Rattus norvegicus: one gene and its partner. The protein of the gene in region 1 interacts with the protein of each later gene in a pairwise test. Links are inferred from orthologs where the notes say so. Each region holds a gene or a part of one and is shown in the gene's direction. Other genes may lie near its edges. The genes, in order: Aqp1 and Rgs17.

Evidence for each region.
Region 2: the proteins of Aqp1 (region 1) and Rgs17 interact in binary tests that used the Homo sapiens proteins (3 or more experiments, as listed by UniProt). The two-hybrid records come from large-scale screens. The link is inferred for Rattus norvegicus from reciprocal best matches to the Homo sapiens genes AQP1 and RGS17.

The regions. Positions count from the first base shown.
Region 1 is NC_086022.1:85,806,565-85,818,061, forward strand, and holds the start of Aqp1 (aquaporin-1), read left to right. Parts: upstream 1-6,219; 5' UTR 6,220-6,278; coding exon 6,279-6,662; intron 6,663-11,497. UniProt on the Homo sapiens protein: Forms a water channel that facilitates the transport of water across cell membranes, playing a crucial role in water homeostasis in various tissues.
Region 2 is NC_086019.1:44,722,823-44,734,319, reverse strand, and holds the start of Rgs17 (regulator of G-protein signaling 17), read left to right. Parts: upstream 1-4,374; 5' UTR 4,375-4,532; intron 4,533-4,772; exon of another isoform or gene 4,773-4,926; intron 4,927-8,694; 5' UTR 8,695-8,767; intron 8,768-11,497. UniProt on the Homo sapiens protein: Regulates G protein-coupled receptor signaling cascades, including signaling via muscarinic acetylcholine receptor CHRM2 and dopamine receptor DRD2.

The DNA.
Region 1 (11,497 bases):
GAGGAGATCCCAGAAAACTGGATCTGACTGAGAGAAGTGCAGGACAAGACCCCAGTGCCAGCCCAGAGGTATCCAGAGAAGGGGTGTGTCCTTTGAGGGAGACACTGCCAAGGTCCAGCGTCTCTGCTTTGTGGCCTGGATCTGACACTTGGGATCATAAACAGCAGGGGACAGCTTGGGTGTCTAGCTGTCAAGCAGTGTGAGTAGTCAGAAGTGGCAATGGGGGAGCTGCTGGTTTGGAGGGGTACTTGATGGGGGAGCTGCTGGTTTGGAGGGGTACTTGATGGGGGAGCTGCTGGTTTGGAGGGGTATTTGATGGGTGAGCTGCTAGTTTGGAGGGGTACTTGATGGGGGAGCTGTTGGTTTGGAGGGGTACTTGATGGGGGAGCTGCTGGTTTGGAGGAGTACTTGATGGGAGAGCTGCTGGTTTGGAGGGGTATTTGATGGGAGAGCTGCTGGTTTGGAGGGGTACTTGATGGGGGAGCTGTTGGTTTGGAGGGGTACTTGATGGGGGAGTTGCTGGTTTGGAGGGGTATTTGATGGGGGAGCTGCTGGTTTGGAGGGGTACTTGATGGGGGAGCTGCTGGTTTGGAGGGGTACTTGATGGGCGAGCTGCTGGTTTGGAGGGGTATTTGATGGGCGAGCTGCTAGTTTGGAGGGGTACTTGATGGGGGCTGCTGTTTTGGAGGGGTAGTTGATGGGGGAGCTGCTGGTTTGGAGGGGTAGTTGATGGGGGAGCTGCTGGTTTGGAGGGGTAGTTGATGGGGGAGCTGCTGGTTTGGAGGGGTAGTTGATGGGGGAGCTGCTGGTTTGGAGGGGTATTTGATGGGAGAGCTGCTGGTTTGGAGGGGTACTTGATGGGGGAGTTGCTGGCTTGGAGGGGTATTTGATGGGGGAGCTGCTAGTTTGGAGGGGTACTTGATGGGGGAGCTGCTGGTTTGGAGGGGTAGTTGAAGGCTGACCTGTAGGTTCCAGGCCTTTCTTCTACCTAGGTATTGCAATGTCTTTCAAGAAAAGCTCTTCTTAAATCGCATGCAGCTGTCTTGAAGGGAAGGTAGCCTTCGGTCAGGAAGGGAAGAATGAGAAGTGGATTTGGTTATCAGATCAGAGGAACGCAGAGTGCCAGACTGTTGTGAATCCACCCTGATGCTCCTTTCCCAAGCTTTGAACCATGTTTCCTTTTCTTTCTGAGTCCTGGTTTCTCCAAGGACTGGAGAGCAAATGTTTCCTGGATCTCTTCTCTTGAAGTCTTACAACGTAATGAGGCAAAGACTGGAGATGTTTAAAAAAGGCCAGGGCAGCGGGGATCAGGAAGCCACTGCCGCAGGGCTAGGCCCAGTGCAGAGAAGGAACCGAGAAGGAACCGGAGAGTGAGGAAGCCCTCCCAAACCACTTACACACATGACACTTCCTCTCAAGGCCCAAGACAGCAGCAGAGGCCCTGTCTTGCTCTGCCTTCCCCAAGGGTGCGGTCTAGCTGCCTGTTTCAAAAACCACCAGCAGTGCCCTCTCCATATGGGAAGATGCTGTCCTCCTGGGCCATCAGGAATTCCCATTGCAGAATAGGGCTTGAGAAATTGCAACTATCACCGTCACGGAGGTCTTTGCTAGCCCTGAGTGGGTTGGAATAGAGGCAGGGTCTATCCTGCCTTCTCAGGTGCCCTCCTTGGACTTCAGCCTTTTTCCTGAATCTCCGTTTTTTAATCCTGGGCATGATATAAAGATCAAAGCCCTGTAGACTCCACCAGGCCAATGGCAGCTTTTTTCCATCCTGTCCCAGTGACTCTTCCGCTACAGAGAATTGCTGGTAAAACATTAAAATAGAAAACCCCACTGTCCAGAAATGGGTGTGGTATTGCCCCTCACCCAGAAGGCAAGAAGCCTGGCCTGTGGCTTGAGGCAAGTAGGGGTGAGAGTGAGGATAGGGAGGAGCAGGGCGAATAGGAAACAGAAGCCTAGAAAATTATTAAATTGTTCCATCCCTGCTGAATCACTGGGGGCCTCCTAAATCCGTTTTTGATTTAAGAGTGATCGCGTGATGCCTGAATGCCCAGGCGCTGCCTCTTAGACAAGGAGATTCCTCCCTTCAGATTCTGGGAGAGGCAGGTGTCCTTCTTTTGTGAGCAGGAATAGGGGGCAGAATTCCCACCATGCTCAGCTTTCTGCTCAGCAACCTTAGGGACCCAGCCTTTTCTAGGCTCAATGTGGGATGGTCCAGGGTGCCATCACAGTGGAGGGTCTGCAGGACCAGGGGTACGTAGGAAGAAGGAGGGATGCCCACTGAATGGCCACAGCAGGTTTGGTGAGCTAGGGTATAGGAGTTGGGAAGAGAGGGACTGTCATGTGGCTATACTGGGCCGTGAGGAGCCTGAGCACTGGCCCTAAAGAAGCTGAGCTTCCGAGACCCTTAGTAGTCCTGTGCCACCATTTGAGCTGACCTTGTCTCCTCCATTGTCAGAGGGGCTGACCTTGTCCCACAAGGAGGACAGCTCCAGATAGGCACCTCTGGCTATGAACTCCTAAGTGGACCAGCCTCCAGAGAGGCATGTCTGACAAGTCCTGGATCAAAGCCAGCAGAGGGGCAAAACCAGGTGCCCCAATGGGGAAAACTTCAGAAAAGCTGGGAGCCCCAGCGGGTAAGGCAGGAGGGGAGAGAGGTCCACTCTCCTCAGGCCTGTCAGGGAATATCCTGTCTTTCTCTCCCGCTTCACCGTTCTTGCTTCCAACCCAGGAAAGCCGGAACAAGCCTGGAAAACTCATCCAAGCTGGTGGTAAGCATATGCTGACTGGAGAGTTATGTGTGTGCCAAGTCTCCTCCTACCCCGCACTCTATTCCTGGTGGGCCTTCTGGACGGAATGAAGCCATTACTTTCTTTGCTTGGCTTATAGAGAAAACCTCTGCTGGCAGGAGATTGAGTCCACCCTTTCAGCGTCTCTGCCCTGAGTGTCACCAAAGCTTCCGGGTAGGGGAAGAGGGACCATGCGAAGAGATGTTTCTTTCCTGTACAACTTAAGATTCCTATCCTTATCCTGCATCTGAGGCTCTGGTCACCATCCTCTGAGATGGAGACTGAAGTTCTGTGGAGCTGCGAAGACATAAGACAGCCCCGGATCATCCTGTGAACAGTCAGCTCTGACCGGCCTGGGCCTCGCTGGGCAGTTCAGGAGTAAAGCACAGCTGGAAAAGCACTTGCTGGCTGCCACCAGGGCCCAAGTGACAAGTCCTGCCTGGAGCTTGGGCACTAGGATGGGGGGTGTCTGCTTTATTTAGTCTGGCTTGAGAGTCTGTTCACAGGAAAGACACAGGGGCCAGCCCTAGGGCATTGGGACACTCTAAGGAGAAGCACAGTACAGCCAGGCCTTGGACCAGGTTCCCAGGGTTGACTCCACTGTAGGGGCTCTGGCTGCACCCTCCTCTTCTGTGATTTTTTTTTTTTTACCTTAGATTGATGCTTCCCTCTCTACCTTACCTATGTGTGGACTCATCAGCACCCCTGCCTACCCTGAGGCTAGTACTCAAGGTCCTTGCCCTTCATTCTGGGATACTGAACTGGGTAGAGTAACCTAGACCTCAGGGACCTTTCCTTATGGGGGTGGTGCTTAAGCTCTCGGATTAGGATTAAGTTGTGGAGCATTCTAATCCCAGTGTTTCTTCCCTTGGCACACCATTGATGGCTACCCCAGCCAGCAAGGCACTGCTTAGTTTCAGCCTACCCCCCCCCAGCCCCCGGCCCCCACACTTCCCCAACCCTGGCCAGCCAGCCTGGATCGTGACAGGCCAGTGAAAAAGAACGAGGCATAGGGCCTTTCTGCCTGACGTACAGCCAGGAAACTTTCCACTTTACTGTGCGGATAGCCAGTTCAGAATTGCAGGGGCCCCTGGGCATTGTGGGAAGTAGTGACAGAAAAAGTTCACTTCGGTATTTCAGGCAATGCCTGCACCCCGATGGCATCTCCTTTGCTCAAAAACCGAAGCCATGTTCATAGCTTCAGTGGTTAGTGGGTCTAAACAGTTTAAGAGCTTATGCGGCAGAAGGGAAAATTCAAGTAGACAAGGGGCTGGTCTTTGTGGCCTATGGTATCCTGTGGTATCCAGAATGGTGTTTGGCATGATATTAGTGCTAATAAAATACTTGTGCTAAAGAATATACTAGTAATATCCAAGGGAATCTCACCACTCTTCTACACACACACACACACACACACACACACACACACACACACACACATACACACACACACACACACCCCACATAATTCAGCTACAAACCTGGTCTGCAGGTGTGGGGCCAGCTCTCCCTATGATTTTCCTAGAATCCTCTTGGCTGGGTCCCTGAGCCAGACAGCATCAGATATGAGCCTTACACAGCCTTGCAGACAGATCTTTGATCAGAGGCCCCTGGAATCAAACTGAGTTTCTTGAGGGGCTCTGTCACAGGGGAACCTCTCAGAATATAGGATGTGGTGGAAGTTCCAGGAAGTGCTCCATCATGGCTCCCTCTCTAGAGGGTTAATAAGTCTTCGATTGCATACAGCTGCCAAGCAGCCTCTACACCACCTTTCTGCTCAGAGCCACTCCTCCTGGCCTTCTAAGTATCTAGGTGTGCGGTGATAAATTAATTCCCAACCAGCCACCTGCTCCCATCAAACATACCACCACAGGACTTCTGTAGGTCACATCAGGTTCCAGGGCTGCCGCTGAACAGAAGCTGGCCCTTGAGAGACAGTATCCTTCTCTGTAGTGTGGACCCTGGGTAGAAGGCGCTTGGCCCTACCTTAATGGATGTCAGACTCAAAGACCATTCTCTCGGTGAGCATTGGTTTCCCACCTCTAATGGGTAAGAAGCCAATGGTTCTGATAAGGACTAAGATAGGAAGGCAGGGGACCTGATTATTACAGGTCCCGCCTTGTGTCACAGAAGGAGCCTACCTGCTGTCCCTGGTATACCTTCCAGCACTCAGACAGTAGGCAAATGACCAGTTCTCTGGTCCTTTACTCCAGGTTTTGGGGGTACACAGGGAGCGTGGTGGGTGCTTTGTCTGCACCCACCTCCCCTCCTCTCCTCCTGCTGTTGGAAAGTGACTCTGCTCCCCTGGGTCCCCCTTACCTTCCTCCTTTTTCTTTCTGTATCTCCATTCTGGTCCAGCCTGATGTCTCCTCTGCTTGGTGCTTTTCCTGTTTCTGAAGTATTGTTTTTTCCTGAGATGCTAAGGATTGAATCCAGTGCCCAGGCGAGGATCGAATGAGTGGGAGCATCCCTAAATCTTGCCCCTGTCTCCTGCCTGGTTGGGGAACCTCTTTCACTTTCCACCATCGCTTGGATAATGCTTCCTGCTGCTGTACCCAGCATCCCATCTCTGCATCCGTCTCCCATTCTCTCCTCTTCAGGTCCAGCTGTCATTCCTTCTATCTCTCTAGTAACCTTCTAGCTCCTTCTCCTATTATAGGGGGGAAAAGAAAAAAAAACTAAATATCTTCCCCAACCTCTCTCAAATCTTTGGCTCAAATTGTTTTAAGTTTGAGGATTGGGGACGGGGGGTTCTCCAACAACTTAGCTTGGCTAAGGCCTACCGTTGTCTGCAGAATGATAGCTGGCTCCCAGAAAGCTTCTCTACCCGTATCAACTGAGGCCTGGGTGGTGAGGGCACATCCACAAAGTGACATGAAGCTGCTTGGCCCAGGCCAGGACATTGGAAGTCACACTGGCCCACAGATTTCTGGGCCTGAGAACTTCAGATTACTAACTCTGCTCAGAGTGGGATGGGACAGGCAGGCAATTTCTGGTGCCACCTCCAGGGAGGGCAATGTTCGTCTAGGGAGTCCAGACAACCTCTATTCTCCACCCCTTCTAGAGTGCCAGGCTCTGCCCTCAGGCACCCTTGAGCTTTGCAGGCTGGGCGGGGACACCTGGATTTCTCTGGCCCCCTGAGAAGGGCTGGCTTGGAAGAATTTCTCAAAGCCTATTAGAGCAACGGTTGCCTCCTGCCTCCTCAGGCTGGGCAGGGCTGAGGGCTGAGGCGGGTGGAGGGAACAAGGGAGGGCAGGAGGGGGAGAGGAGGAAGGAAAAAGTTGGCAGGCAGACAGCAGAGCCCTGTCTGCATCCATCGCAGAGAGGAGGCTCGTGTGGTGTGGGGCGGGCCAGGAGCAAGGAGAGGCCTTCCTCCCTTTGTGCTCCCCCCACCCAGCCCTATAAATAGGCCCAGCCCAGGCTGTGGCTCAGCTCTTGGAGGGAGTTGAGCACCAGGCATCCAGCGGTTAAGTCAAGGCCCCTGCCAACATGGCCAGCGAAATCAAGAAGAAGCTCTTCTGGAGGGCTGTGGTGGCTGAGTTCCTGGCCATGACCCTCTTCGTCTTCATCAGCATCGGTTCTGCCCTAGGCTTCAATTACCCACTGGAGAGAAACCAGACGCTGGTCCAGGACAATGTGAAGGTGTCACTGGCCTTTGGTCTGAGCATCGCTACTCTGGCCCAAAGTGTGGGTCACATCAGTGGTGCTCACCTCAACCCAGCGGTCACACTGGGGCTTCTGCTCAGCTGTCAGATCAGCATCCTCCGGGCTGTCATGTATATCATCGCCCAGTGTGTGGGAGCCATCGTTGCCTCCGCCATCCTCTCCGGCATCACCTCCTCCCTGCTCGAGAACTCACTTGGCCGAAATGACGTGAGTGGGGTATCTCAGGCAGGGGTCTGTAGGAGAAGGCAGAGAGGGGACTGGTTCCATTTGCCTACCCATATAATGGGAGTACTGAACAACAGAGAGAAAGATGAAGGTTTCTGGGGTCACGCTGAGATATGGGGCCAGAACTCAGCTGGGCTACAGGGTCTGTTTGCTGGTAGAGCTGAGAGCGTGGAGGAGCTGGACAATAATGGTTGCCAAAGTCCCCTGCGAGTATCTACTGCCAGCAATGAGCTGAGGGGGCAGCTAGTTGTGTGCCAGCAGTGCCCCCCTCCAGGGGAGTTTCTTGGCCCTTGTCTGTCCTACCTGAACATCCACTTTTCTCCCTTGCAGCCCTGTCCACTAGGCAACCTCTACCTACTGTCCTAAGTATACTTTCTCCTGATACCTACCATGTTTAAAGCCACTTCTGCAGGTGTCTGAGTGTGACTCTCTTGATAAGTTGCCTGGGCTTCTAAGTGGCTTCTAATCCTTACCCAGGTTCCCAAACCAACTTCCTCAGAAAGTCAGGAGATGACTCCCTTTCTTTCCTCTGTCTCCAGTAATTAGACAAAGTGGAGGAAACAAAACTCTCTCTGGAGTTTTGGGAGAGTTTTCTAGATACCCGTTCAGAAAAAGGGCTCGGCTCAGTAGTCCTTGGCCACTGAACCATGAGGCACGCTTGCTTGTTGTGTACAGAGGTGGAAACGGAGGTGCAAGCTTGTCTGCCCAGGTCCTGAACTTGTGTAAGCTGCTTTCGAGTAGATGCTGCATTGGGGAGAATGTAAGCACTTGTACCCACTGTTTCTGGCTTTAATGATAAGCAGACGCTGGCAACAGTATGTGGCAACTGTTCAACATAACTGTCCCTGAGCCATTCCACACAGCTAAGTGGCCTGTGTGGTGGCTGCCTGGTCACAAACCTTTTCCAATTTCTTAGCTAAGTGTCCAGGATGACCGAGTGCACTTGGGTTTAATGGGGACCAGTTTAGCAGGAGTGTCTGAGTAAAGGCATGGGGTATCTCAGAATGGAATAGCCCAGAGTCCCTCGCCAGAAGCAAAGACTCAGAGAAAGGAAGCTGCTGGCTGGACCCCAGTAGGGCAGATGCAGGGGGATAGGAGTAAGGATGTGGGCCAGGGCTCCAGTGAGTTGGATGGCTATGCGTGAGTAGACGCCTTTCGTTTCCCGACTGAAGTTCAGGTCGTGGAGATGCAGGCAGGGAGGAGGTGAAAGTCTGATGCAGAGGGCGGCTGTCCTGGCTGTTCTGCAGGGATGAGCACTTCTGTGCCACAGTGACACCTCAGGATCACACTCAAGTCAACCTCTGCTCAGCTGGAGATTGAAGATTAGCCCTGTGGCTGGAGTTTAGACCTTAGCTGGAGAAAAGTTGGCTGCCGTAGGTAGCATAAGGAGCAGGGTTAGTCAGGCCATGTCCCTCTAGACTTCAGTCTCTCCAATAGGAGCAGGGCTAGATGCCTCAGTGAATTCCAGCGAGGAGGTTCAAGTTCCCGCTGAGGTGGGGGCTGGGGAGGATGCAAGCAATACATGCTCCCTCCTAGCTCTTATCTCTTCCAAGTCAAGTGACAGGCAAGACCCGTGCCCTTGCTGGCAAAGGCTTTGCATTTTCTAATATTGTCATCCAAGGCAGAGGCAGAACATGATTGCTTCGGCAGCACCTGCGTCTGGCTATACCCCATTTCAGTTTTTGTTCTCCTACCCCCCACCAATTTTCCAGAGGTGACAGAGTATCTGTGTCAGGCAGAATATATACAGCTGAGGGAGAAAAGGCTTCAGGCTAGTATGAAGACAGCTTGGGGAAGGAGGCAGGCACCCTAAGCCCTGTTTGCTGTTGACCACCAAGTCTTCCTGGAGCTGAGCATCCGAGGTTCAAAAGGACCTCAGGTTCTGGTGACATTCCTGCTACTCCCACACTACTAGCTTATATTGTTGGCTGGAACTAATTACTGACCCCCCAAAGGACTTGGCTAAGAGAGCCCCAGCAGCAGTATTATATAGAGGGACCAAACATTGTGGTGAGGTTTCTACCCCATCCAAACAAACAATGGACCTTTGGCATGTAGGACAGTCTGTCCGCCAGCCAAATGGCTCTCTCTGGGCACTGGCTCCTGGTTATGGCGGGGCTGGGAATGGTCTCAATGCCTTAGAGGAACAACAGTCAATGGAACAGGTGGCAGCCTCTTCCCTATACATCCCTGGGGAAGGCTCTCACAGCTCCTCTGCTCTTACCCTCATCCTGCCGCCAAAACCTGGGTGGGGTGAGTTGTTGGCATGGAGATTTCCAAAGAAAACAGAGGGGGAAGTGGCAGGAAGTGGTTGGGTGAGTCAGGGGGTGTCCCCTAGGGACATGGTGGGGACAACTTTCTCCTGACTAAGTCAGGGCTCAGAAAACGCCCTATAGCGACCACAGGCATCCTATAAGGTCCTTTGTGGGGTAAAGAAGTAGAGCCTAATTTGCACTCTTGGCTATAGGCTCTGAGGCTCCCTGCCCCAGGTCAGTCACCTGCACCCTATGTAACTCCATGCAATAGGCTGGGCTAAGATGGCCCTAATTCCCACCTATGAACCCATGAACAGGACTCAGAAGGGTGTGGCCGGCTTTGGAGAGTAGAGGATGCTGGAGCTTTAGAGTCCTGGCATCCCGGCTGTTTTCATTCTTCCTCTTTCTGGCCCTCATCCTGCAGAAATGACTGGGGCTGTTGGGTGCTGAGAGCAAGGCTGGGTCAGCCAGGCTCCCCACTCTGGGCAGCTCATGGGCCTGAGGCCAGATAGACCACACAGCTGCCTGTGATACCAGGCAGGAGGCAGGTGAGATAAGAGGTGTCAGGGCGGGCCAGGGAACTTTTGAACCGAAAGGGTGGGAGGGCCAGGAGAGCTCCAGGGAGATCATCCTATAAGAACCCAAATGTGGACTGAGAAGGGGCTTCTGGGTACAGCTGAGGCAAAGGGGCAAGGAAGGCGGTGGAGTAGAAGTGGTCATCAGATTTAACAGAGTGGTGTCACAGTAGGAGGCTGGATTTTGAAGTCGGTAGGAGCTCTGGACCTTGTCTGGTCTCTGTTTCTGGAGGAGACTATTTTCCCAGAGCCTCCCAGCCTAGCCACCAGGGGTCTCAGGCAGAGGGCACGCCTATTCTCTTCAGGGTCATCTCTTAGTTCTATTGATTCAGGACCCAAATACTTGGAAATGTCTCCACCTGCTATTCCAGATTGTGTATATATATATATATATATATATATATATATATATATATATATATATATATATATCGGTCCCTAATGCATATTCCTCTGTCAGTTTCTTGGGTGTTAGCGTCCCCAGACAGTAGGAGAGAGGGTCCTTTCTTACCTGTAGGCCAACCAGGGTCAAATCTCTTGCTACCTTGACTAGGGCTTAGCAGTGGGCTATGGAAAAGAAGCGTAAATTTCCAATGCCCTGACCAAGTTCAGCATGGCCAGGGACAGAGCTGGGGGCTGGGTGTAACAGCATAGCTGGGACCTGTAATTATTGTTTCCAGGCAGAAGCTAGGAGGGAAAGGACAGGGGGAGAGTGCAGAGAGGTGGAGCTTTGTGGCAGGGCAAACATTCCTTCTCACAAATATTCTGAGGCCGGGTCCTCCACAGCATCTGCTGGATCTGTACAGCTAGTGTGGTCAACCTGTCCCAAACCAGGGTCCACTTGGGACAAGTATTTAAAAGACAACACTCCAAGAGGACTCGTGCAGGTAGCATCTGAGGAAAGCTGCTCCCACCCCATCCCACCGGAGCCTCAGCTCCTCTGCCCTGGTGCTACTCTTTCTAGCCCGAGCAGCTTTCCGCAGCAAAGTAGGTCCCTACGCAGTCCTACTCTCTAGGACACACTCAGTGTGTTCCTGGTCTCTCTGGGCAGGTCACAGTTTCTCCCTACCCACCCCCACAGCCACTGGAAGCCATGTATTCTTGTTGGTAGCAGTTCTCTGCCCTGGGAACCTTCCCGTCCCTACTCTTCAGAAGAACCTGCGAGTCTCAGAGCTCCTGGACGGCTGAAACCTGAGCCTCCTACCTGTAGATAAGGGCAGGAAAATGTCTTTGAGGCTCCACAGTGTTCAGGGATTCCTCTGTCTGGGACTTTTCCTGGAGACTAGCGGGGCTCCTCAACCACAGTATTGGGATGAGTGGGAACAGCCCCAGCGGAACGAGCAGGGGTTGGGGCTATGCTCACCCAAACAGCTAATGTTCCTGAGCTTCCTTGAGACTGAGATTGAATCCCATAGACCAAAGACAGCGGTGGGCACAATCAGCCCCTTCAGGGGCTTGAAATTCCAGTAGAGACTCCAGAGGGGAGTTTCTGTTCTGTATAAAGATTTTGTTTTTAACTCAGGAAGCAGCTGAGCGCTCTAACTTTAGAAACGTGCAGGTTGGACCCCCCGCCCCCTGACAGGGAAGCTGCTCTGGGGGAGCCTGGCTGGGTAGAGGTCCAGTGTAGGTGGGTAAGAGACTTTGTGCTACAGGCTTTATGCCAAACTGAGAATGGGAGGTGGAGACTTGAACTGAGGTATCTGAATGCTGGCTAGAGGGTGCCTACCTGATTTTGGGCAAGGAGGAATCAGAAGACTGCTTGGGGCTAGAGTTTAGGTCAGTGCCTGCATTTTGCTCTCGGGAAAATGAGACCCAATCAAGCTATAGATTCTTGTCAAGATTGTACAGTGGGCAATGTCAGTACAGGACTATGCTCCAAACCTTCTGTAAACATGTACACGCACATGCACATACGTGACATAGGGCAAAGAATGTGCTCTGAGCACTGCTTAGATCTGGGGATGCAGGGGGTGGGCGGGCGGGAGGT
Region 2 (11,497 bases), on another chromosome or scaffold:
CCAAGGGACCCGGAGGGAGTTGGTAAATGCTGTTTGTGGTAATTTACTGCCCTCGGCTATAAGATTCAGTAAGCACTGGCCCAGAATGGAAGACTCGTCATTATCAAAGGAAAGCCCGATGCAATCTTCTTGGTCCCTTGAATTCTTTCTTCTCACAATCTGACCGACTACCTGTAATTGCACACAGTATCTGATTCCCATTGATTTTATTTTGCCAAAGCCCATATGCAATACCTACCTTACCTGGCTTCAGGATTATTAGTCTGTGACTTTCATTTCCCACAATGCCATGCAGATGCTGCCTAAGATTGCTCAAGTGAGTGGGAGAGAGGAGGAGTGAGTGGATGAAACTTGAATAGGCAATCACTGTGTGTCTGGTGAATTCTACACTATTCACACATAAAGATTTAGGCGAGACTGTACTTTCATGTAGCACTCCAACATATTTCACACTGTGAGACGAGTCCACTGGAAAATCAGGAAACCAGGAAGTCTTTAACAAGACTTGTCTTGTAGCGACGTGAGTCTACTCCTTGTTTGCATCTTCAGTGTATTTCAAAAGACAGTCACACAGACCCTTCTCCATGTTGAATATCAGCATGCTAATTTTCTCACATACATACACTCGAAGACCTGCTCTACAAATGTGCTCTACCATAAACCAAAACCTAATAGATACAAAAACCCCTTTGAGAAAATCAGAATGTAAGCTTTCCCCTATCTTGACTTCCTTCCGGCCCTGGAGGGAAATCTGATAAGGGTGAAGGTCATTCCACAAACCAGCAACTCATGTAGGAACTTTTGCAAGTCTCCAGTTAACACACCCACCCGTCACCATCAGGCTCTGTGATTTGCTAGTCTTTCAAGAATCTGATGGTGCTAACTGAAAGTTGCCAAACTTTCTAAACGAGGTAAACACACAGAAAAAGATGCTTAGTCACTGTAGGGGAGCAAAGGTTTGGCTCAAGGGACAGTGTAGTGAACCAAACAGAACCAAGCAGAATGTAAAGGTGTAGATTCTATCAACTGAGTATTTTTCTGAAGCTACTCCAGAGGTCTCTGCTGGAAACAAGAGGTCTTAAGAGCAATGTATGTGGTCATAGGCCACACGCTGGTTTTACGCATATCTGCACTAAGTCAGCTAAAACATGGCTAATGTCAGACATCCAGGGAGTTATAGCACAAAATGGCTGACAGTAAATATCCAAGTAACCCCAAGTAACTGTAATCTGCTCTTTAACTATTTTTGGCGGACTACCACTTTTATGTGCATTCTACATAATTTCGATCTTGGGGTCAGAGTTCCAGAGCCTGAGCCCAAGCCCTGGCCAGCCTACCAGCACGCGTGTCATTCTGTAATTCTGTGTGTCTTCGTGGCTACCTCCATGAGACCTGTGTGCTGGTCTGAGAGTTTCATCCTGAGAGTCCTTTAGTCTCCAAATGTATCTTTGTCTTAGCAAATATCTACAACTGTCTTGACAACATGTGCCATGTAGAACCGTCTTTGACAGGCTGGGCAGAGGTAACGGTGTACTCTACTTATATATGTCAAGAAACAACAGACTGTGGTGAGAATCCAAGAAGAAACATTAGTAAATGCAAAAACCATTTTTCTGTATTTGTGATCTATTCAATCATCCATTTAGTCATCCATAGATATTCACCAAGTGGATGTTATGTGCCAAATCTTCTTCTGGACCCCATAGATGAGACAGTGAAAGTGAAGTTTTAGAAGACTTCGTTCTAGTATAGGGTTGGAAGGAAGATACTAAACAACTTATTTCAATACTGGAAAAAATATTGCCTTAATAAAATAGAACAAGACAAGGGGATCCTTCTTCTTCTAAATAAGCAAGAACTGCTTGCCTCATTGGCACAGTTTATAAGATGGTTGTATTAGGCCTTCAGTAGGAGCAGATTGCCGATGCCTCCATAATGTTAAATAACCTGATATGTAAGGAACCACGTGCATGGGATTCCTAGGAAGGAAGAACAAGAGGCATCCCACACTGACAGCTCTGCACAGCTAGAACACTCAGAGCTCTATGGTCTACTCGAGCAAGATAACGGCAAATACATCTTGGAGGATAGTGAACAGATCCTCCCAAGCTAGGGGATGGATCATGGGCTGTATTTAAAATGCAAGGAAAACTACAGGATGGTTTTAAGCTGCTATTTGGAGTGTCTGGGGGAGAGAAACAAGGAATCCAAACAGGAGGCTTTGAGTTGTCCAGGTGAGAGATGACCGTGGGTGGGACGGAGGCTACATCAGCGGAGATTGGACATATATATTTAAGGTAGAGGAAATATGACTTGCTAATTAACTGGATGAGGATGAAAAGCAAGAAGGCGAAGCAAGGATGACTTCCACAGTTTTGGATTGGATAACTGGGTTGAACAGTCCAAAGAGGAACAGGTTTGGAGGGGGTGGATTTCCTCCGCTCAGCTTCTGAGATGCCTGGTAAATGTGGTAATAATAGTAGCTACCTTGTGGGGTTGTCATGAAGAGAAAATAGGAAACACATGAAAAGAATTTAGGCCAGTGTCAAGTAGGAAGTAACTGCTCAATAAAAATGAAGAAGGATAGCTGTTGAAGTAAAGGCGGCCGTTCAAGAATTATTGATGGCTGTAATTCTTCACCTAACATGGGTCGGCAAAAGTCCATTACAGATGAAGAATAAAGATACAGGTATTCGAGGGTGATAGTTGCACAAACCAATAATACAGAACATCTGTCTCTTCCAATCCCTATGTTGAAACCTAAACTCCTAAAGTAACTGCAGTGAGAGGTGTTGGCTTCGGAATTGGTTAGACCAAGTGGATGAAGCCTCGTGTGTGGATGTAGTGATCTTTTACGTTCACACCAGAGGCTGTCTTGTGAACTTCCAGCATGTGAGGAGAAAGCAGATCCATTTGTCAGGACTCCAGCCCTCTTAAAACACGGAATCTGACTGAATCTGACCTCAGACCTTCCACTCTCCAGCAGTATGACAAGTTAGTTTCTGTTGTCTGTAAGTCACCCCTTAGGTGGTATTTTGTTAGAGCGGCCATAATGGACTAAGATAAACTTTTATACTCTCCAACAACAACAAAAATGAATTACTCTTAAAATGAAGCTGCCAGGGACAACCGAGCCAAGCACTCAGGTGCCATGGCAATGGTAAATCCCTAGATATTTTTCCAAATTTTATTCTCCATTTCTGTATTTATTTCTAATTACAGACCAGTAGTTTGTAGACATGCTCCAAGAAGTGCCCTTTCAGGGTATTAGTATGCAAAGCAGAAGATGCAGCTGAATAAAAAAGACCCCTCGTTATAGTAATTGAAGGGGGCGGGGCTCAGGTGCTCAGTGGGCTGGAATATCAACAGTATTTGCATACAGGAGGACCCCCTGGCAGGGGAGTGTCATACACGGCTACAAGCAATCAGTTCTAATTAGCTGGAAGGGAAAGGGCCTAATCATTCCTGCGGGAACTCTCTCCTCTTCCCCACAGATGTGAAATCTAAAGAGCAAGATATCCGCTTTCCTCACTCCCCCCTCAGAAACACTTCAGCCTAATCACAGGAGGTATAATCTAGTGCTTGGAATGCATTAAGCATCCAAGGCTCCTTCACCACCAAGCTGCGCTCTGCTGGCAGGCAGAAAGATTGGCAATTCCTGTGACTGCCAAGTGGTCCTCTAAGGATGCTTTATGTCCCAGGTTTCCAAACCAGGCTAAGAGTTCTTGACTCCCGCCCTGCTTTAGGTTTATCTCACTGAAAACCTCAGCTCCAGTGCCCCAGAGGGTACACATACCTAAGCCCAGAGAGCGCCTGAAGGAATTCGTGGGTATTTCTGAGTACGCCAACGATACAGTCAAGAGACTCCAACTTTCTTAACTTTGCATTCTCTTGAATCCCTCAGGCAAAAGGGTTGAGGATAGCCCGAGGCTAAGGGAACCTGAGTGCCTGAAAGACTTACAAACACTGTCCCAGGGACTAGGTGAACACTGCCCGGGCTGTGGGTAAAAGTGAACGGGGGGGGGGGGGGGGGTTGGGGAGAGGTTCCTTCCCACAAAGTGTGTCCTCTCCAAGAAGACACACACACACACACACACACACACACACACACACACACACACACCCCGACCCCCACCGCAGAGCCTCCTCACTGATGTCGCCAGAGCCGCCTGGGCACAGAGACATCGACACCTTGAGCTCTGTCGCCGGGCGGGCACGCCAGGAAGGGTTGCGACGGTGACTCACGCATCCAAGCGCCCGCGGGAGGGGAGGACGCCTCACCTCCGGCTGCGCCGGGCGAGGGGCTGCGCCTGTCTCCTGGACGCATGCGCTGCGAGTTGCTCCGCTCCCTCCCCGCCCACCCCAGCCTCCTCCCTCTCGGCTCTATCCTGGCCTCTCTCCCTCTCTCCGTCGCCGGGTGCTGAAGTTGGGCGGATGGCAAGGAGCCCGCTCCGCTAGAGGACGGAACAGCCCAGCCTTGAGCACACTCGGACTCGGACCCGGGGACGGTCGCCCACATCCCAGGCCACCTGGTAAGACGCGACCTCTGAATCCCGGAGAGGATAAGAAATAACATAAAAATGTCTGCTTTGCACTGATGGGTGGGCTTGATTTTTTTTCTCTCCTTTTGCTCCCCCACCCCCACCCCACAGGGAAGTAGGTGGCGAGGGGGAGGTAGGAAAGAGGGGGCGGAGGGGACGCCCGCCGCCTGTGCTGTGGCTGGTGAAGCAGTGAGGTGCAAGGGTCTCGGCGGGCAGCACCTCCTCGCGGCTTCGTGAAGTTGAATCCCGCGTGGTCCGCTTCAGGGCTCGGTCCACTCGCGTCCCCAGGCTCTGTAGAGGGGCTGGACCGCTCTCCTGCCGGGTCACGGCTTTGGGTGTCCCTGCTCCCGGGAGGAGAAATCTCAGCACCTTCAGGGACCTGGAGGTGAGAATGCGCTGCGGTGGCGGGTGGGGGAGCGCGCAGGGGTTCGGGGTCCCCCGGCTTTTTGTAGCTGTTTGGCTAGTAGAGAATCGATGGTGAAATAAATCGAGATGGTCTCAGGCGCGAACCACCTCGGATGGTCTCATTTCTCCCTTTATCTTTCGGTGCCTTTAGGGAAAATAAGCGATTCAGGTGCAGGTGATGGCTTTACACATACCTTGAGCAGCTGTTGTGTGTGCGTGTGTGTGTGTGCGTGTGTGTGTGTGCGTGCGTGCGTGTGTGTGTGTGTATGTGTGTGTGTGTGTGTGTGTGTGTGTGTGTGTGTGTGCGGTGTGTGTGCAGAGGGTGAGAGTCTCTTTTGTTCCTCCCCCTTCCCCTTTAGTCCAGAGAAAGCGAGTTCTGGTGTGCACTGCACCGGGTCGGTTTTACAGCAACCAAGGGGGTGAGGATTGGGAACGCCTACCAGCCCCCAGGCGCTGCCCCGCTTGGGTGCATCACAGACTCCTTTGCTGTGGGAGCTGGTTCTCCTGATTATGGATGGATCACAGCTTCTAGCTGTCTCCTCGCTAGCCTGCCTTCTTCTCTCTTTCCTCTGGCTGCCGCAGAGGCTGGGTGCAGACACTTCCCTGTTGTTTCCTCTTCTTCCTACCTCTGTGTCTTGGTGGAAAATGTCGGAGGACCTGAGAATGGCGGAAGGACAGAGCAGCGGGTGGGGACCTGCTCCTGGCCAGCGGGAGGCTGCTTGCTGTGTGTCTCTGGCAATCCGCGCCACTCACTCAGAAGAGACTGAGCAGGGGTCACCTGGTCTAAAAGACACCAATGCAAGACCACCCTGTGTCCTCCTCCTCCACTGAGAACTGAGAATGGTCGCTCACTTGGGAGATCCTGGTCACCCAGGAACCCTGTTCCTGGCTCTGGGCATAGTGTTTCCAATACTCCGTACAGACCCTTCAGTAAATTCATCCTTCTAAATCTGGTCTGAAGAACTTTGCAAGCTTTTAGCTGTCTCTTCGGGGGAGGAGGGTGTTAGAGCTGGATTCTATCCATCATGGGTTGGCTATCACAGATAAAGAGAACCCTTAGTTGATAAACACTTCTAAGACTGGATTCCATCTGCATTTCCGGCGCTCAGTCACACTGGTTTTCAGGGTGTTAAACCTTTCTGAAAACCATTTAATTGACAAAATGAGAAATACATTTTACTCCTACAGGGAAGACGGTGTTTTCCTCATCGGTTCGGAGCTGCTAGATGCAAACAGCAAAGCTCTTAAGTTCCTTGTATCCATTTCTGAAGTCTGTCATAGTAATAGCAGTTATGTATGGAGCATGCTTTATAACACTGATAACTAATCCAAGGGTAATTCAAGTCCTAATTCATCAAGTCACGTGACTGGGAGGTGTTAACATGAACTCAAAGAGTAATTAGCCCACTCACGACAACATACATTTATTTACTAGTTTAGAATTTTAAGGTCTGTATTTAGGGCCCATGGATCAGGTTCATTGATGGTTTTTGGAGCTAAGAAAACAAGTGTTTATTATTACAGGAAAGGATCAGATGTTCTATTTTGTTAAGTGAGATGCCTCTCCTTGGTGATAACAACTGAACCCAGATCACCAGTAGCCATCTTTCTCTTTAAAACTGTCTCTAAAAGATAAAGAAATCCAGTCACTTTAAAACTGACAGTGTGGGGTTGGGGATTTAGCTCAGTGGTAGAGTGCTTGCCTAGCAAGCACAAGGCCCTGGGTTCGGTCCCCAGCTCCGGAAAAAAAAAAAGAAAAAAAAAAGAAAAAGAAAAAAAAAGAAGGAAAAAAAAAAAAAACCTGACAGTGTAAGGTGTTCGTTTTGCCCATTTCCAGATTTTTTTTTTTTTTTTTTTTTTTTTTTTTTTTTTTTGCGATGCCTCAACTTCTTCTTGGGCTAGTACCTACTTTGGGGTCTGTGCTCATTTCCACAGCAAATAAATGACCTTCCCTTCCCAGTTTTGGAGGGCCATCCTATCAGGATTTAGTTCGTTTAAGCTCATGATGTTAATGGTCTAAGTCCATTTCCATCCCCACGGACTTCTTCTACTCTTTCATAATAAATAAATCTCGTTAGAGTTTCCTACCCCAGAGCTAGACACTTTGAAAACAAAAAGGTCTGTTCTTACTTATTTAGCCTTATTATACAGCTAAATAAAAGTGAATGACCCCCCACCCTAATTGGTGAGCATTCCACTGACACACCCAGTGAAAAGAGTCAGGAAGAACTTAGGTGTGAATGTTCTACTGTGAAGGGATTGGCTCCCACATTAGAAGTTCATTTTCTGAACTGCATGAACTTCCCTAGAAAAGCAGTCACCAACAGAGAAGGGTGGAGCTAAGTGGGATGGGAAATCCATTTCTACAGGAGATTTGGATACCCTAGTTCTGTCTACAGAACAAGGAAGATATGTCACTCTTCTGAAGAATGAGAGGACCAATGCATTTGACCACTGATTACTACAGAGCGTACTGTGGGGTTTATGGAGAGCCTAAAACAAATACATCATTTCCTCTAACAGGACATTTCCTATGAAATTGATGGATACACTGTCCATATTTCCTGCATCCCCTGGCCTCTAATGTATCCTTTAGACACTTGAGTAACTTTTCAAAAGCCCACTTAGATTATTATACTTACCACAGTGCCAGCACCTGACACAGTAACTAAGAAAGAGAATTTCTAAACTAATTAACTTTGCAAAACTAACATGGCTCAGAAAAGTCTCCTGACCTGCTCAGCTGAAACCGTGGGCTCCAAGTCCTGTTTCCAAACCAAGGTAGAGGGTTAGGAAGGTACGACTTACATGGCTTACATGACAAGACATCTTTTGAAAGCAAGGGCACCTGAATTCAGATCCCTAGCACCCACATATGAACAAGGCATGTTCTGAATGCCTGTAACTCAAAACTAGGTTTCAAGGTGACAAACAGGAAGATCCCAGGAACTGTCTGCCAGTCAACCTGGCAGAAACTGATGACATCAGGTTTAGTGAGAGACCCTCTCTCAAAAGTTAAGGTACAGACAGAAAATGCTCTTCTGCAGGTGAGTGCATATATACACGTACACTTTTGCTCTCATGCACACACACACACATACATATACATACATATATACATACAATGCTCTTTACCAAGTACACTCATTGAAATTATGCCCATGATCCTGCCTCTTGGAGGAAGCAAGTTTTAGAATTGTGAATGCATTCTCCTAATATAGCACTTAGAGTACTGGCTTGCTTCTGGGTGATGAGTTTATATTTATTTTACACATCCCAGAACACAGGAACTTACATGAAATGAGGACACACGTAGAATATAATAATCACAAATATTTTTGTCAAGACAGATTTGGCTGATGTACTGATTCAGTCATTTAATGACTTTGTTATTCATCTGCCCCGCCTCAGTCCCCCAGTGAGGAGATCCTGGGATAGCTTTAAGCACAGATAGAATACACTGTACAGAAGATATACTTTGCCACCAATTCATCATATGCATAGGTATTGTCATTTATAATTAATGTGTATTGAACAGTGCCGCTCTTGCTCTTTACAAAGCTCCCATTACTTTGTTACCATTTCTACATTTTAGTGTGATATAGTGACTACAAGCAACTCATCCTGTATATGACTTAATTTATTAGCCATTCTTCTATTTGTAAACTTTTTGTTCTTTCTAGCATTTTCCTATTTGAACAAGTGTGTGCCTTTATTCTCTTATTTTATGTATACCTTTTTTCTTTAGGTTTATTATATATACTGCCTAATTCCCATCAAGATATGTGATTCTTCCCAACAAATTATTGCTAAGATGGCAGGTGCACTTAATATTTTTCAAAACTTACACATTTTACTAAGGACAGTGATCAATCTGTGGCATGCTTGTAACCATCTTTTCCAACTGTGACGTGTTTGTATCATTTACCCTAGGTGTGTAATACTATTCAAATGCATGCTTGTCCCCTGAGTGATAATATTGCTCTTTTTTTAAAAGGAAACCCAAACGAGGAAAGGAAAAGCTCAGTGGCAAAGACTCTGAGTGACAAAGATTAGAGAAATTATCATGGTTAAAGCTGAAGGACCCTATCCTGGTCATCCGTCTGGGGAGCTCAGAGCTCACATCCGGTGTGGCTTTGCTTTCAGCCTGCGCAGTTCCCTATAGAAGCCCCAGTTGCTAACTGGTTTTCAAGCATACACTTCACTCTGAATGGTTCGAGAAAAGGAGTTCTCTGCCTTTAGCAGATTGTTCTACCAATTGCTGATGTCATAGAAAGAACTTTCCAGTTTTAATGGAATTAAAAAGAAAATAGGCACAATTGTGAACCTATGAGGGGATTGAGTCAAATTTTCATCAAAATAAAATCAAGTCAGCTTAGTGTCATATCCTTTTCTTAAATTTCGGCTGCATATAAAATTTAAATATTTTAAGAGGCAAATATCTGATCTATTACCTTAATGATTTTTTTATGCATCCAGAGAGTGTCTATTAGGTATTTTGTTTGTTTTGTTTTTGTTAACACAAGCTAACACCTTGATGAAAATCAACCTAAATAAGAGTGTCCATTTGGCTTGTAGTTACAGAGGCATAGACGTGCAGAATGTCAGGGAGGAGCAAACCACTGAAACATTGTCACAACTGCATGCTGGAATGAGTGAGCTACTGAGTTACAAAATCCCAAGGCTCCCTCAGTGAAATACTTCCTCCCTTAAGGCTCCACCTCCTAGAGGTCTGACAAACTCCAGCAGTGCAGTCAGCTAGAGACCAAGAGTTCAAATACACAAGCATGTAGGGAACAGGTCTCATTCAAACCACCATAGTGTGTCTCAGGAATCAGTGGGAGGTTTGTTTTTTTTTTTAAATTAATTTTATGAATGTTTGTATTAATATGTGTGTGAGAGAGGGGAGATAATTAGAGAACATGCCACAACACGTGCATAGAGATCAAAGGTTAACTTTGAAGTCAATTTTCACCATCCATCCTTACAGGCTTGAACAGCTGAGACACCTCACCTGAACGTAGCAATGGCCATCTGAGCTTATAGTGTTGACTTTTAAAGTTTTATGGTTTTCAAAGTTGGATTGCAGACCTTGGACAATCTATGGCATTCTCTAAAAACTAAACAAACCTCTGAGCATAGAATTTTATAATCATAACGTACTTCTGTTTACCCAATGTTGTCAAACCGCAGCGATTCAGGAGTGAGCCTCGACTTTCTAATGATGGGTGAGAGGCCCTCATGCGGAACTGATAGGATATAAAAATCCTGTTTGCAATAGAACTAGATTTGTATTGTTACTTATGTAGATGTAAAGAGTTTTCATAAAAATCATACAACTGTCTTGAATTAGGAATTCTAGCAAGAGGTATTGACATCCAAAATCTCCTTGAATTTCTCTAAACTTTGCATGTGACATTTTCTTTTAAATCCCTTTATCAATAAATATAATTATATACAATGAGTTTTATTATATACAATGAGTGTGGTTAAGAAAGCAAATATTTAATTCCTTATATTGGACCAAAGGCTTTTTTTATGGTGCTTCTGATTGACCATTGAAATACACAGGTTGTAATTCAAGACCTATAGCATCATAATAAAACAGGCACCACCCTGGGGGACATTATGGTATCAGTGACAAGGCAGGGTAAGTGTTTATTTTGTTTCTTCAATTGGCTTTGGCCTTCTTAGCCAGTGGAAACTTCACCAGGACCACACTTTATCAGTTCATTCTGTCCTGAAAAAACAATGGGCTAGATTTTGGTATATGATAAAATTCTTGCTAGGTATGATGGTGCATGCCTTTAATCCCAGCACTGAGAAAAGGAATCGCTGTGAGTTTAAGGTCAGCCTGTTCTACCTAGTAAGTACCAGGCTACCAGGAGTACATAGTGAGACCCTGTCTATTTAATTATTAGGTCACATTTAGTCCAATATCTACTCCTTAGCTCTATTTTCCCCCATCTCACCTATTTTCCTTTTTTATTGAAAGAATTTTTGTACAATATATCCCCATCTCTTTAGAAAACCAACATGCAAATAAAGAAAAAAACAGAATAAAAAGAAAGGGCATAAGAAACACACCCACACACTTTATTAAAATATGAAACCAGAAACCATAATATACATAATTTTACATAAAAGACCAGTAAGATTAATATGTGTGTGTGTGTGTGTGTGTGTGTGTGTGTGTGTGTGTGTGTGTACATATGACAAAACGGTATACAAAAACACCATTGAGCTCATTTTGTGTTGGCCATCTACTGCTGGGCATGGTGCATTCACTTATAGTTTAATTCAGTTAGCCAAAACTAATGTCTGGCACTTGACATTTCATTTAAATAGCAGGTATAATCAACACATGGGAAACTGTCCCTGACAGAGATTTAAAAAGCAGAGAATGTAACTTGTATGCAGATCCAAGAGTTTTTATTGCAGGTAACTAGGAATTTAATCCTAAGCTCTTCAAGCCTTATTATCACCACTATCAATAACATTGAAAGCGATCATTTTCAAAAATGCTGAGAGAGCAAACCAGAGGATACATC